3 linked regions of the Canis lupus familiaris genome follow. The protein of the gene in region 2 purifies or fractionates together with the protein of the main gene of each other region. This does not show direct contact. Links are inferred from orthologs where the notes say so. Each region holds a gene or a part of one and is shown on either strand. Other genes may lie near its edges.

Evidence for each region.
Region 1: the proteins of ITGB1 (region 2) and CD63 purify together in Homo sapiens (affinity purification with western blotting; 3 studies listed by BioGRID and IntAct, with this or other methods). This does not show direct contact. The link is inferred for Canis lupus familiaris from reciprocal best matches to the Homo sapiens genes ITGB1 and CD63.
Region 3: the proteins of ITGB1 (region 2) and ITGA9 purify together in Homo sapiens (affinity purification with mass spectrometry; 3 studies listed by BioGRID and IntAct, counting the BioPlex papers as one, with this or other methods). This does not show direct contact. The link is inferred for Canis lupus familiaris from reciprocal best matches to the Homo sapiens genes ITGB1 and ITGA9.

The regions. Positions count from the first base shown.
Region 1 is NC_049231.1:478,431-482,686, forward strand, and holds the start of CD63 (CD63 antigen), read right to left. Parts: upstream 2,801-4,256; 5' UTR 2,714-2,800; intron 2,317-2,713; 5' UTR 2,307-2,316; coding exon 2,241-2,306; intron 1,464-2,240; coding exon 1,275-1,463; intron 1,084-1,274; coding exon 1,009-1,083; intron 907-1,008; coding exon 811-906; intron 702-810; coding exon 561-701; intron 330-560; coding exon 246-329; intron 79-245; coding exon 13-78; 3' UTR 1-12. UniProt on the Homo sapiens protein: Functions as a cell surface receptor for TIMP1 and plays a role in the activation of cellular signaling cascades. Plays a role in the activation of ITGB1 and integrin signaling, leading to the activation of AKT, FAK/PTK2 and MAP kinases.
Region 2 is NC_049223.1:3,937,810-3,941,882, forward strand, and holds the start of ITGB1 (integrin beta-1), read left to right. Parts: upstream 1-1,268; 5' UTR 1,269-1,426; intron 1,427-4,073.
Region 3 is NC_049244.1:7,516,936-7,521,167, reverse strand, and holds the start of ITGA9 (integrin alpha-9), read right to left. Parts: upstream 2,801-4,232; coding exon 2,616-2,800; intron 1-2,615. UniProt on the Homo sapiens protein: Integrin alpha-9/beta-1 (ITGA9:ITGB1) is a receptor for VCAM1, cytotactin and osteopontin. It recognizes the sequence A-E-I-D-G-I-E-L in cytotactin. ITGA9:ITGB1 may play a crucial role in SVEP1/polydom-mediated myoblast cell adhesion.

The DNA.
Region 1 (4,256 bases), on a different chromosome or scaffold from region 2:
GAGACCAGACCCCTACATGACTTCATAGCCACTTCGGATACTCTTCACGAGGCAGCAGGCGAAGACAATTCCCAGTACCTAAAAGCAAAGAGGAGTCAGAAAGGCAAAGTATCCCAGGCCCACTCAGGAGACCCCAAACACAACCAGGGGCCCCAGGTTCCCCAGGCCAGGACTTCCCTAGCACCCTCCTCCCACTGCCCCAATTGCCCAGATGCCCCAGAATGAGTCCCAAGGGGGCCTCTCACCTCCACGAAGGCAATGCCCAGGGCCGCTGCAGCCACCACCAGCACATTGCTTCTCAGCCAGCCCCCAATCTTCTCCACGCAGCCCTGAAGGACGGTGGGCACACAAGCGAGAACGGAGTCAGAAACTTCCCACCCACCTCCTCTGCTCCATCTGGCTCTCCCCCGCTCTGCACCGTTCACCGCACTGCTAACGTTCCCAGATGCCCTCCGCATCCCAGGGCCCCAACCCTCTCCACCTCCATCCCTGGGCCCTCTCAACCCTAGAAACCTTTCCCAAGTTTTCCCAGTCCCCTGCTATCTCAGCTGCTTCCCCACCTCAGAGTAGATATTCTTCACATTGAAAGAAATCCCACAGTCCTTCGTGACATTGATGCAGCAGGAGTCAGGGACCTGGCCCTTGGGCATGAGAGAGACGGTCTGCCAGTCTGTGTAGTTAGCGGCCCCGCAGCACTTAAACTGCAGGACGAGAGAAATACAGGGCAGGGGCTTGTTACCTAAACCTCCGCCTTCGACACGGAGATGAGACTCTTCCTCCCCGCTAGCCGCTCCCAGCAAGCTCACTCACATCCTCCTGCATCCTGTCCAGGATCGAAGCCGTGTGGTTGTTTTTCTGATAATTCTTCATCTGCTCCCGGAAGTCCTTATTAAACTCTGACATCACCTGGGAGCAGGAAAGAGCATCGTGGGGGTCAGACTTTAGGGCACGCGCGTCCCAGAGCAGCCAGCCCTGTGAGGCAGGGCCCTCTGCTTCCTCCCCGCTTACCTTGTCTCTAAACACATAGCCAGCGATGGCTGCGGCCACCTCCACCAGCATGATAAGGGACAGGAAGATGGCAAACTGCGGGCACAGCGGACAGGGGTCAGGTGTGGAGTCCCGGTGAGAGTGGCCTGCTGTGGCCCAGCCAGCCTCTAGCCCACTCAGAGAGGTTCTCCTCCCCCACCTGCCTCGCTTCGCCCCTGGATCCCCCTCTCCCTAGAAGCCCCTCCCAGCAGGCCCAGGCACCCACAGCGGCCCCACACCCGGCTCACCGTGATCATAAGACAGTAGTTCTCCTTGCAGGCCCCACAGCAGCCCACAAAGGCCACCAGGAAGAGGAAGGCGCCCACTGCGATGATGACCACGGGCAACAGGGAGCCAGGCGTGGCCCCCTGGACAATGGTCTGACTCAGGACCAGCTGGGCCCCTACACCCACGGCGATGAGCCCCACCGCACAGGCCTGTGAGGACAGGTCAGGGTTAGGCCGGGCCCACCAGCCATCAGGCCTCCGCGCAGGGGGCAGCAGGTACGCCCAAGCACAGACGTAGCCCCACCCAGGGAGACGGATTCGCGCGCCTCCAGGAAGGATTGCAGGGAAGGAGGACAACCCGTATCTGCCCCCACAGTTTGATCAAATGCCAACAGAGAAGTTCCCAGAAAGCCCTGACCCCAGGGCATGTATCCTCACCTAGAGTGGTACTTCCTCGGGGCCTCTAGGGCGCCCAGGCGCGCCCCAGCCGCAGCCTCCCGGCCTGCCCTACCCTCATCAGTTGTGACGGGGCTTCCTCAGGCCACAAGGCCGGGGGCGGAGGGGACAAGAAGCAGAGGCACGAGTGGGGCCCCTCCCCGGACAAAGAGCAGCGTGTGAGGCCGGGAGGCCAGGACGGGAGCAAACCGAGGTGGGCAGAGGCCTTTCCCACCCCCGGCAGCCGACAGGAGCCCGGGGAAGCAGGGAACGAGGGGGTGAGGGGCAGGGCAGGCGGGGTGCGGGGGAGAGGGGGCCCCGCGGCGATAGCCATCAGGCGGCCGTTGGCCGGTTGCCCCACTGCCCTATCACAGCGGTTGGGTCACCGGACAGGAAGGGCCAGAAGGGGCGAGGGGGAGGGTGCGGCGCGCCCACGCCGTCCGTCCTGGGTCCGCACCGCCTCGGAGGTCCCCGAAAGCTGCGGCGGTGGGCGCGCTGCGGCCCCCGGCTCTTCCTCCCGCGTCCGGGCCCCAGGGCCCCCTTCGCACTCACGCAGAAGGCCAGCAGCAGGACGTAGAGCAGGAACTTGACACACTTCATTCCTCCTTCCACCGCCATGGCTGCAGGCCTGCGGGGGGCGCCGGTGAGGGGCGTCGGGGCCCCCGGTCCCGGCCCCTCCCACCCGGAAACCCGCGGTCGGGGCCACGTCCCCAGCCCCCTCTCCTCCTGGGCCCGAGAGCGGCGGGGGCGACCGCCGCCCTCCCGCCCGGCCCCGCCCCGGCCCCAGGGCGCCCTCCCGGCCGCAGCCCGTCCCCGCCCCGGGCCCCCGCCCCCGGCCCCGCGCTCCCGGCTCCCCACGCACGGTCGCCGCCGCCGGGGCCTCCGGAACTTCGCGAAGTTGCAAAGTGGCGAGGGCTCGGGAGTGCGGCGGGCCCTGGGCTCCGGGCCGAGCCGCGGCGGGGGCGGCCGCCCGCGACCCCGGACCCCGGACCCCGCCCGCACGCAGGCCGGGCCCGCGGCCTCACCTGGGCTCCCCGACGCTGCGCTCCGCTCTCCCGCCGCCGCCGCCGCCGCCGCCCCGGGCTCTTTAGCGGCGCCCCCCGCCTGCGCCCCGCCCGCCCGCCGCGGCCCCGCCCCGGCTCCAGCCCCGGCCCCCCCTCCGCCCGGGCCGCCGGCCTCCCTCGTGACGCGGGAACAGCTGCGGCTTGAGTCACCCGGCCGCCGAGGGGAGGGCCGAGCCCCCCGCCCGCCAGGGCCACGTGGCCCCTGCCCGGAAGGCGCCCCCCCGCGACGGAAGGCGGCGGGGCTGGGCCGCGGGGCCCGGGGCCCCTGGGCTGGGAGGGCGGGGCCGGCGGCCCCCGACTCCGTGCGGTCCGGACCCGGGTTACGCTGCGAGCCGCCGGGCCGGGCCGCGCGACGGGAGGTGCTCGGGAGGCGCCCCCATCCCCGGCCCGGCTCCCGGCCCCGCTCCCGGCCCCGCTCCGGCCCGGCTGAAGCCCCCGCCCCGCGTCGGCAGAGGGCGCTGCGAGCTCCCTGGCGTCGGGTGCAGGCGGTCGGGAAAAAGCTTCCAGAAAGTCCCTGGCCTCACATCCCGGGAGTCCCCCAACCTTTGCAGCGGGCGCCTCGCCTGTGGGTGCCTCGCCTGTGGGTGCCGGCCCGGCCTCCGGGCTGCGGGGGGGTGGGGGGTGCTGAGCACCGCAGGAGGCCCTCGGAGCCTGCGCCCCCCTCTAGGGGCGGTTGACGCCTCTGTGCCCCCGGCGCGCCGGGCTCGGCCGCGGTCTGGGGAGGCTGCGCAGGCAGGCCTCTGCCTTCTGCAAGTGCCCGTCCCGGCCTCGCGGGCAGCAGCTCGCAGCCCCGGCTGGGGAAGGGGCGGGGGCGGCGTCCGGGGGCGGCCTCCAGCTGCCCCCCAGCTATCCCCTCCAGCTGCCCCCCCCAGCTGCTCCCTCCAGCTGCTCCCCCAGCTGCCTCCTCCAGCTGCCCCCTCCAGCTGCCCCGTCCATCTGTGTCCTCCAGCTGCGGCCTCCAGCTACAGCCTCCAGCTGCCCCCACAGCTGCCCCCCCCCAGCTGCCCCACGTCCAGCTGCCCCCCAGCTGCCCCTCCACCGCGCCGTGGCTCCCAGGCCGGACGTGACCCCGAGAATCCGCGCTCCGCGGCCGGGTCCCACCCCGTCGGGTCTTAGGTCCTGACTCAACCGCTTCCCGAGTCTTCTGTACCCGAAGAGGCAAGAAACTGCAAGAGCAAAAGGCAAGCGATGGGGGCCACAGCCTTGGAGCGAGCTGAGCAAGCGCGTTGGGGGCCTGGCTCCTCGCTCCCACGGGCAGGCCGCGAGGAGCCGAGGAGCCACGTCGACTCCCGGGGAACCGAGAGGGCTCGGCCTGGGCCCCGCAGCCCGGGAGCCGGACCCCCGTGTGACACCCGCGGCCTCCCGGTGGCGGGTGGACGCTCTCGGCGGTGGCGGGCGGTGCATCTGCCCCAGAGGAGAAGGAAACCCCTTTGCACCACGAAAGTGGGTGGCAGTCCCTGAGGGGACTTCAGAGGATAAACAAGCTCTGGGTTCAGAGACAAGG
Region 2 (4,073 bases):
GTAACACCATATTTTTATGGATGCAATTTTAGGTCTTAACCAATTTTACCTCTTAACCATGTTCCCCATAAATGGGCCTCCAGATTAATCTAACAAAAGGAGATCCCTAACTTACCAGTTTTTCTTTTCTCTAAAACTTTCCTAAAAATCCATCTTTCTTGGCATTGACCGCCTTCCTGTCTTCACCACCTCATACAGCCAAGTCAAGCCAACTATCCACTCCAGTCAACAGTAGTGGCTTTAGCTAATTCCCTAGAAGTTAAAGTTTGGGCCCCTGGAAGCCCCAGAGGGTGGGTGATCCTCTGGATGTGCCTGGGACTGAAGGAGATCCTGGGCTGACGGGACCACTGGGTGTGGCTCTGGGGCAGTGGACCGCAAGGCCCAGCAGGTGTTCAGCCCCAGGCTCCCGACGCCCCCCCCCCCCCCCCACGCACCTCCCTCGGTCGGTCGGTCGGCGGGAGCGGAAACTGAGGCACAGCGAAGGCCCAGTCCCAGGCCAGCTCCCACCCTGCTCCTTGGGCCTGGCCTCGGCTTTCTGGCCCCCTCCTCCTGGTCCCCCTGCTCCCGTGCTCCCCCGTCCTTGGGATCCTGCTCCCCTGCGCGTCCTCCCCTCCTCCTGCTCCCGGTCCTCGGGATCCTGCTCCCTCTGCCGGTCCTCCCCTCGTCTCCTCCTCCCCTCCTCCTGCTCCCCGTCCTCCGGATCCTGCTCCCCTGCGCGTCCTCCCCTCCTCCTGCTCCCGGTCCTCGGGATCCTGCTCCCTCTGCCGGTCCTCCCCTCGTCTCCTCCTCCCCTCCTCCTGCTCCGGTCCTCGGGATCCTGCTCCCCTGCGCGTCCTCCCCTCCTCCTGCTCCCGGTCCTCCGGATCCTGCTCCCTCTGCCGGTCCTCCCCTCGTCTCCTCCTCCCCTCCTCCTGCTCCGGTCCTCGGGATCCTGCTCCCCTGCGCGTCCTCCCCTCCTCCTGCTCCCGGTCCTCCGGATCCTGCTCCCTCTGCCGGTCCTCCCCTCGTCTCCTCCTCCTGCTCCCTCTGCCGGTCCTCCCCTCCGTCTCCCCCGCCCCTCCTCCTCTCCCGCCCGCCCGCCCTCCCTCCGCGCTCCTCCGGCGTCCTCCTCCCCTCCCCGCCTCAGGCGAGCTGACGCCGCCCGGCAGGAATGCGTTTCCGGAGGGAGGGGAGCAGGAGCGGCCGCGGCGGCCGGAGGAGCAGGAGCGGCGGGGCCGAAGAGGCGGTGCCGCGGGGGTCGTTTCCTGCCGGGAGGCGGCTCCGGGCGGCCGAGTCTCCTGCCCCCGCCCCCGAGGAGGAGGAGCCGCCGCCGCCGCCGCGCCCGAGAGCCGGGAGGCCGCGCTAGCCGTCGGGAGAGGCCGAGCCGAGTCCCGGAGTCCCGGAGCTGCAGGCCCCAGCCGACCGCGGCCCGGACGCCCCGGAGAAGGTGGCGCCGTGTGTGCGCGCGTGTGTGCGTGTGCGCGTGTGCGCGTGTGTGCGTGTGGCGGGCGGCGCGGGCCGGGGCGCCGCGGCCGGGCCTGCGTGGGGCGGGGGCGGGGGCGGGGCGGCGGGCGCGGTGGCGGGGCTGCGGGACGAAACGCTGCCCCGGGGCCGGGGCGGGGGCCGGGGCCGGGGCGGGGGCCGGGGGCCGGGGGCCGGGGGCCGGGCCGGCTGCGCCCGCCGAGGCCCGGAGCTCGTCCCGCCGCCTCGCGAGTGGGGGTCGCGGGCCTGGGCGCTGTCCCGCCGCGGTGGGGGGCCCCGAGCGCGCGGAGCGAGCCGGCCTGCCTCGTGGGCCGCCTGGGCCCGGGTTCCGCGTGCGGGGAGGGGCGAGCGGGGCCGCCCGCGGCCCGAGGCCCCGGGGCTTGGAGCGAGCCCTTGCGGCTTCCCTTTGTTCCCGGTCCCGTCGGGGCCGCTCTCCCCCGAGCGGCCTGGAGCGTAGTAGCGCGCTTCCCGCTTGCAGAAGTCGGGCCGCAGCCTTCAGGGCCTGCTGCCGGGGCTAACTGCGGGCCGGGCCCAAAGAGAGGCGGGCGTCGGGAGCCGGGGAAGGCGCGGGCTTGGCGACTTGGGGTGTGTGAGGGCCGCGCCGAGTGGGGGGTCCCTCAGCAGGGGGCCGGCCAGGGGCTCCCGCGGCTCTGCAGGAGCCAGTGCCCACCTGCCCTGGGGCCCGGCCTCTTACTGCGCCTCAATTCTTGGGCTTCCTAACAAGTTGTAGTTACTACCAATATTTTATGCCTAAGTCATTTTTATTTCATCGAATTTGTACTTTTTAGTCAAAAACTAACACTAGTAAATTACCCTCTTGGGGCTTCCATTTCCTCACCCGTAAAATGGGAACAAGAATACCTACACTAATAATAAAAGCAGCTATTCTAGTAAGGACAGTGCGGGCCGTGGTTAGCTCTACGCACTTTACCTGTGTTTATCCTGGAACCAATACAATGAGGTAGGTGCAGTTTTTATACTCATTTTACTAGTGAAGAAACTGAGGCACAGGAGGCCTAAGTAATTTGCCTCTGATCATCCAGCCTAGTGAGTGAAGAACCCATGGGGTCTAGCACCAGAGCCCATGTTTGAATCACAGGTTCAAGTAACAGGTTCCATAAAGACCATAGAGTTGTGAATATCAGATGTAATATGTAAAACAGCTTACAGTAGATGCTAAATGCATAGGACTCCTTTCTGTCTCTTCTTGATATATGAAAAAGATTTAAAAAAAAATCTCAGGACGTAATTGATCCGCTATGCTGTTATTTTTGGTTGTTTTGATGGTATAAAAATAATGTGAAATAAATGTTGGTTAGGCATTTTTCCGAAAGGGCATACAGCCTTTAGTTATATTAATAGACCACTTTTAGAAATGATTAAGGAATTTCAGGTGGAAGTTAACCTAGTCTACATCTGTGAACATCTACACCCACAGGGGATGGTAATTAAGAGTTCACTACAGTGTTCATATTTTTAAATAATTTTAGTTCATTGATCAATATTAAATGAGTGGCTTAAGATAATGAAGTGATACATAGGAAACAGAGGGACAGGTCTGTTGGGGACAGGGCTCTGGGGAAAAAGCCATTTATTTATTTGAAAATTCATAAAATGGAAGATGTTATTAGAATGTTAGCTAAAAAGACAGGGGATGTGGTTAATACTTTTGTAAATAGAAAGCAAATAAATTCCAAATGAAGGTATCTGTGTTGACTTCACAGACTTAAAATTTAGTTTTTGTAATGTTGAGTCTCTTTAAAAGAATGCTGAATTCTCCATTATGATTATTTTATATTACTATTTTATAATACCCTCAACAGTCTGTACGTGAAAAAATATAGAATCAACAATATTGAAAATTGCTAGGTTTAGTGATTTTAACAATTAGGTGGTTTTTTTCTTAACTCTCTGGTCAATATAATTAAAATCTGGCCCAAATTTCCATCACTGAATGAATATGCAGTTCTGCATGGTTATCAATAAACTCCTAACTCCAGGAGCTTCTCTGGGGACGTCTGGTCATTTTGTAATAGGCAGAATTAATCAGTTTAATGTGCCAGTTTTAACGGAATACTTGCCACATAATAGCTTTATTGTTTGGCTTCTTGTCAAATAAATTGCGGCTTACGATATGGGGGTGGGGTAGTATAACACTCTACCTCAGGAAAATATTTTTCTTTGATATTCGGTTGGTACACTGGTCTGTTCTTAACTACACTGCTGGAATGATGAGATGAAACATCTTTTGCCGGTTCAAAGTTGCAGAACTTCTGACTTCTGAGATTTTCAGTTTCTGAATGTATAAAAGCTTGAATGTATCTAAGGACTTATATGGACTCTTGTTAAATTTTAGATTTCCTCACTCTGCATGGAAAGTTAGGATGTATCAGGTTGGGGTAGAATCCTAGAGGATTATACTGTGCAAATATGAAAATATGTCTTGTGGTATTAGTGGGTCTGTTCTAACTTTGGTCATATATTGTGGGGGTTTTGTTCTTTTTTGTTGTCATAGTGGGAGTCTTGGGGAAGGGGGATGGATTGACAGGGATAACAGTAAGGAAGAGTGCCTTAGTCTTCAGGATCCTGAAATGGAAGCAGTATCTATAAAT
Region 3 (4,232 bases), on a different chromosome or scaffold from region 2:
GTTTTGAGGAGTCTGCATCTCTAGTGGCCCAGGGCCCAGGGACTGCCCAGTAGGAAGAGACCAGCAATCAGTCGCTAAGTCACTCAACCAACCCCAGAGCTAAACGTTTAGAGACATTGGGTAGATCCAGATTCCACAGAGCCTGGATCTCGTAAATTTAGGGTGACTACCTTTCAGACAAAGTTAGGACTATAAATTTAGGGGATCCCTGAGTGGCTCAGCGGCTTAGCGCCTGCCTTTGGCCCAGGGCGCGGTCCTGGAGTCCCGGGATCGAGTCCCGCGTCGGGCTCCCGGCATGGAGTCTGCTTCTCCCTCCTCCTGTGTCTCTGCCTCTCTCTCTCTCTCTCTCTCTCTCTCTCTCTCTATGTCTATCATAGATAAATAAATAAATAAATAAATAAATAAATAAATAAATAAATAAATCTATCTTAAAAAAAATAAAATAAAATAAATTTAGGCACAGGGTCTTGGTGGGGGCCCATGTGAGTGAGGGGGCTTTGGTAGAAGTTTCCTTGGCCTCATGGGGAGTCTAGTTTCCAGAGAAAAGAAAGAGAAAGGAGGCGTGGCTGGAAGTCTATTGCTTCAAGAGCCACAGTTGACAAAGTCTGGACAGCAGAATCAGCTGAGAATAACATTCAAGGTCTAAGACAAAGAATATTGGAGGGAAGGGAGAGGAGAGAAAAGGCTAGGGAGGAAAATGCTGGGAAAAAGCAGCAAGAGGACAGACATCAAGGACATAGCAAAACTATGATAAAGGGACTCCTGGGTTGCTCAGTGGTTGAGCATCTGCCTGCCTTTCCTCGAGAGCCCCCTGCCCAGAGAAGCCCTTCAATTCCTGACCGTTGGCTCCACATACTTTGTGCCAAGGCCACACAGTCCAAGAGCCCAGCGTGGGGTTCCGGGATGCGTTCTCCAACTGCTCCTGTTGTATTCTCTACCAAATCCAAAGCCCACAGTGGACTCTGGACATGCGGGACATGGAAAAGGCCTGCTTGGCTTTAAAAGGGGGATTTGAAAAAATAAATTTAAAAAAGGGGGATTTGGCAATGCAGAAAAAGATAATCTAGCCTTACACTCAGCAACTGGAGTAAACTGTAGAGAAGGAGATGCAGGACTGGACAGGGGCCACAAAGGACTTTAAAAACTGGTCCTCTTGGAGGCAGTTCTCCTAAACAATATGATTGTGAACACGCTGGCCGGTCATGGAGTCACCCTTTCCCAGGAATGCTCAGACCTACAAACCCACCTTTAAAAAAAGATTTTATTTATTTATTCATGATAGATGCAGAGAGAGAGAGAGGCAGAGAAAGATACAGGCAGAGGGAGAAGCAGGCTCCATGCAGGGAGCCTGACTTGGGACTCGATCCCGGACTCCAGGATCACGTCCTGAGCTGAAGGCAGACGCTCAACTGCTGAGCCACCCAGGTGTCCCCAAACGCACCCTTTTTCAAGATTTTTTTTCTAGATTTATTTATTTATTTATGATAGACATAGAGAGAGAGAGAGAGAGGCAGAGACACAGGAGGAGGGAGAAGCAGGCTCCATGCTGGGAGCCTGACGTGGGACTCGATCCCGGGACTCCAGGATTGCGCCCTGGGCCAAAGGCAGGCGCCAAACTGCTGAGCCACCCAGGGATCCCCCAAACGCACCCTTTTTGATCAGCTTCTGTCCAATTCAGAGCAGTGACGGTCTCACAGAGCTGCATGTGGAGAGCACACATTCCTGACCTCACCTTCCTAACCTGCATCCCCAAAGGATACTCACACTGGTGCCCACACAATAAAACCAACTCCAGACTTGCCTGTCACCCAGGGCCCACTGGGCCATGACCTTGAATAGGAGAACTGTCTGTGGTCTAACTCTCTGATGAAGAGGTGACCCTTGTGTGCTGTGGGGTTTCCACGTGCCTGGGGAAGGGGTCAAGGAGGAACCAACCTCATCTCCGTGGCACTCCGCAGGGGCTGGGCAGTCACGCTCTGTGCCTGTTAGCTGCTGGCACTTAATGGAGGCAGGTTCCTACCCTCTGGGACTCTCGAGGAGCAAACTAGACTCCTTGACCTCTAGAGAACCACATCCCTCTTCTAAAACCTCAGGTGCTTGTCTCCAGGTCCGATGGCCCGTGGGAAAGGAGGCCCAGGCTGCCCCAGAAGTCACCCACCAGCCTTGTGACTTAGGGTCCAGGGCCGCCGTCCCACCCAGCATCCTGGACCCTCGCAGCTTGCTTCCCCGGAGGCCCGGCAAGGAGGGAGGGGGCCTCTGGGCCGCAGGGTGCCCCGCGGGCTCCCAGACACTGCCTTGGGTCCCCGCCTCCCTACACACGCGCCCCGGGGGCTGAGCCTCGCCCGGCACCACGCAGCAGAGTGGCCTGGGGCAGGCGGCGTCGCCCGGAGCTCCCGCGGCCGAGGAGCCTGCGCCCGGAGCGGCGGGGCTGCTGGCTCGGGGCCTCGGACGGAGCAGCCAAGCCTGCGGGCGGGGCGCGGGGAGAGCTGGGCTCCGGCGGGACCCCGGACCCCGGACCCAGGACCCAGGACCCCGGACCCAGGACCCCGGACCCCGGACCCAGGACCCAGGACCCAGGACCCCGGACCCAGGACCCCGGCCCGCGGGGCACTCACCAGCGCGTGTGGTCGTGGACGTGCTCCAGCACCGCGTAGCCGAAGAAGGAGCCGGCGGGGCCCTGGAAGCGCACCGGGCGCTGCGGGTCGAGGCTGTAGGCGTCGGCGGGCGTCCCCGCGGCCACCAGCGCCAGCAGCAGCGCGCGGAGCCCCCCGGCGCCCCTCCGCGCCGCCGGGCCCCCCATCCCCGCCGGCCGCCGCCCTCGCTGTCCCCGGGCCGGGCGCCGAGCGCGAGGGCGCGGGGCCGCGGGTCGCCGACGGCCGGGAGGCTCCCGGGGCGGGCTGCGCTCCGAGGCTGGCGGGCAGCGGCGCGGGCCCGGGACGGCAGGCGAGCGCGGGCGGCGGGGCCGAGCGGGGGACGGGCGGCGGGGGCGGCGGGGGCGGCGGCGGCGGGCGGCGTCCACGCTGCGGCCGCGAGGTCTGCGCGCCCCGAGCGAGCGGTCCCGGCCGGGCGGCGCTGGACTGCGGGGAGGCGCGCCCGCGGGGTGGGCGGCCCGGGGCGGCGGGGACGGCGGGGGACGGGGACGGGGACGGGGACGGGGGACGGCGCGCCGGCGCCCCCTGCCGACCGCCCGAGGCCCGAGGCCCGCCGCCCGCCCCCGCCGCGGCCCCGCCCCCTGCGGGCCTCGCACCCCAGCGGGCGCCGGAGGACGCGCGAAGGACTGGGGGCGCCGCGGCCCGACGGGCGGTCACCTCCAGCCGAGGCGGGGAGCGGGGACCCGAGGAACCAGAAGCCCGGGGTTGGGGGCTCGGGGAGCGCGGGGCCCAGTGGTGACTCCGGTTGTGATGCGCTGGCCCAGGGATTGAGCCCCGCCCCGGGGCCCCCGCAGGGAGCCTGCCTCTCCCTCGGCCTAGGTCTCTGCCTCTCCCTGTGTGTCTCATGAATAAATAAATACATGAATCTTAAAAAAAATACAAACACGAAGAAGCTCTGAGGGTTGGGCCCAGCTGTGTGGGGGGAGTCAGGTGTTGTTACTGTGATGAAATATACACAGTATGAAACTTACCATCTTCACCGTCTTTAAGTGTACAAGCTTCATGGCATTAAGTTCACTTAGGTTGTTGTGCATCCACCACCGCTCATCTCTAGAACTTTCCTGTCTTGCAAAACCGAAACTCTACATCCATTAAACACTAACTGCCCAATCCTCCCCTCCCCCAGTCCTTGGCAACCATCGTTCCACTTTCTGTCTTTGAACTGGACTGCTCTCCTGCTCTCAGGACTTCATATGAGGGGAATCCTATGTGGCTGGCTTATTCCACTTAGCAAAATGCCCTCGAGGTTCACCTAGGTCGGAGCAGGTGTCAGTACTTCCTTCCTTTTTAAGGCTGAATAATATTGTACATACATGTTTTCTTTATATATTGATCCTTTGATGGACACTTGGGTTGGTTCCACCCTCTGGCTATTGTGAATGTGAATAATACTGCTATGAATATAAGGGTACAGTTACCTGTTTGAGATAATCGCAGTCAGGTCTTTAAGGTATATGCCCCTGAAGTAGGATTGCGGTATCATATAGCAGTTCTGTATTTAATTTTTTAAGGACTACCATAATGTTTTCTACAACAGCTGCATCATTTTCCATCCCACAGACAGCGCACAAAATTCTACTA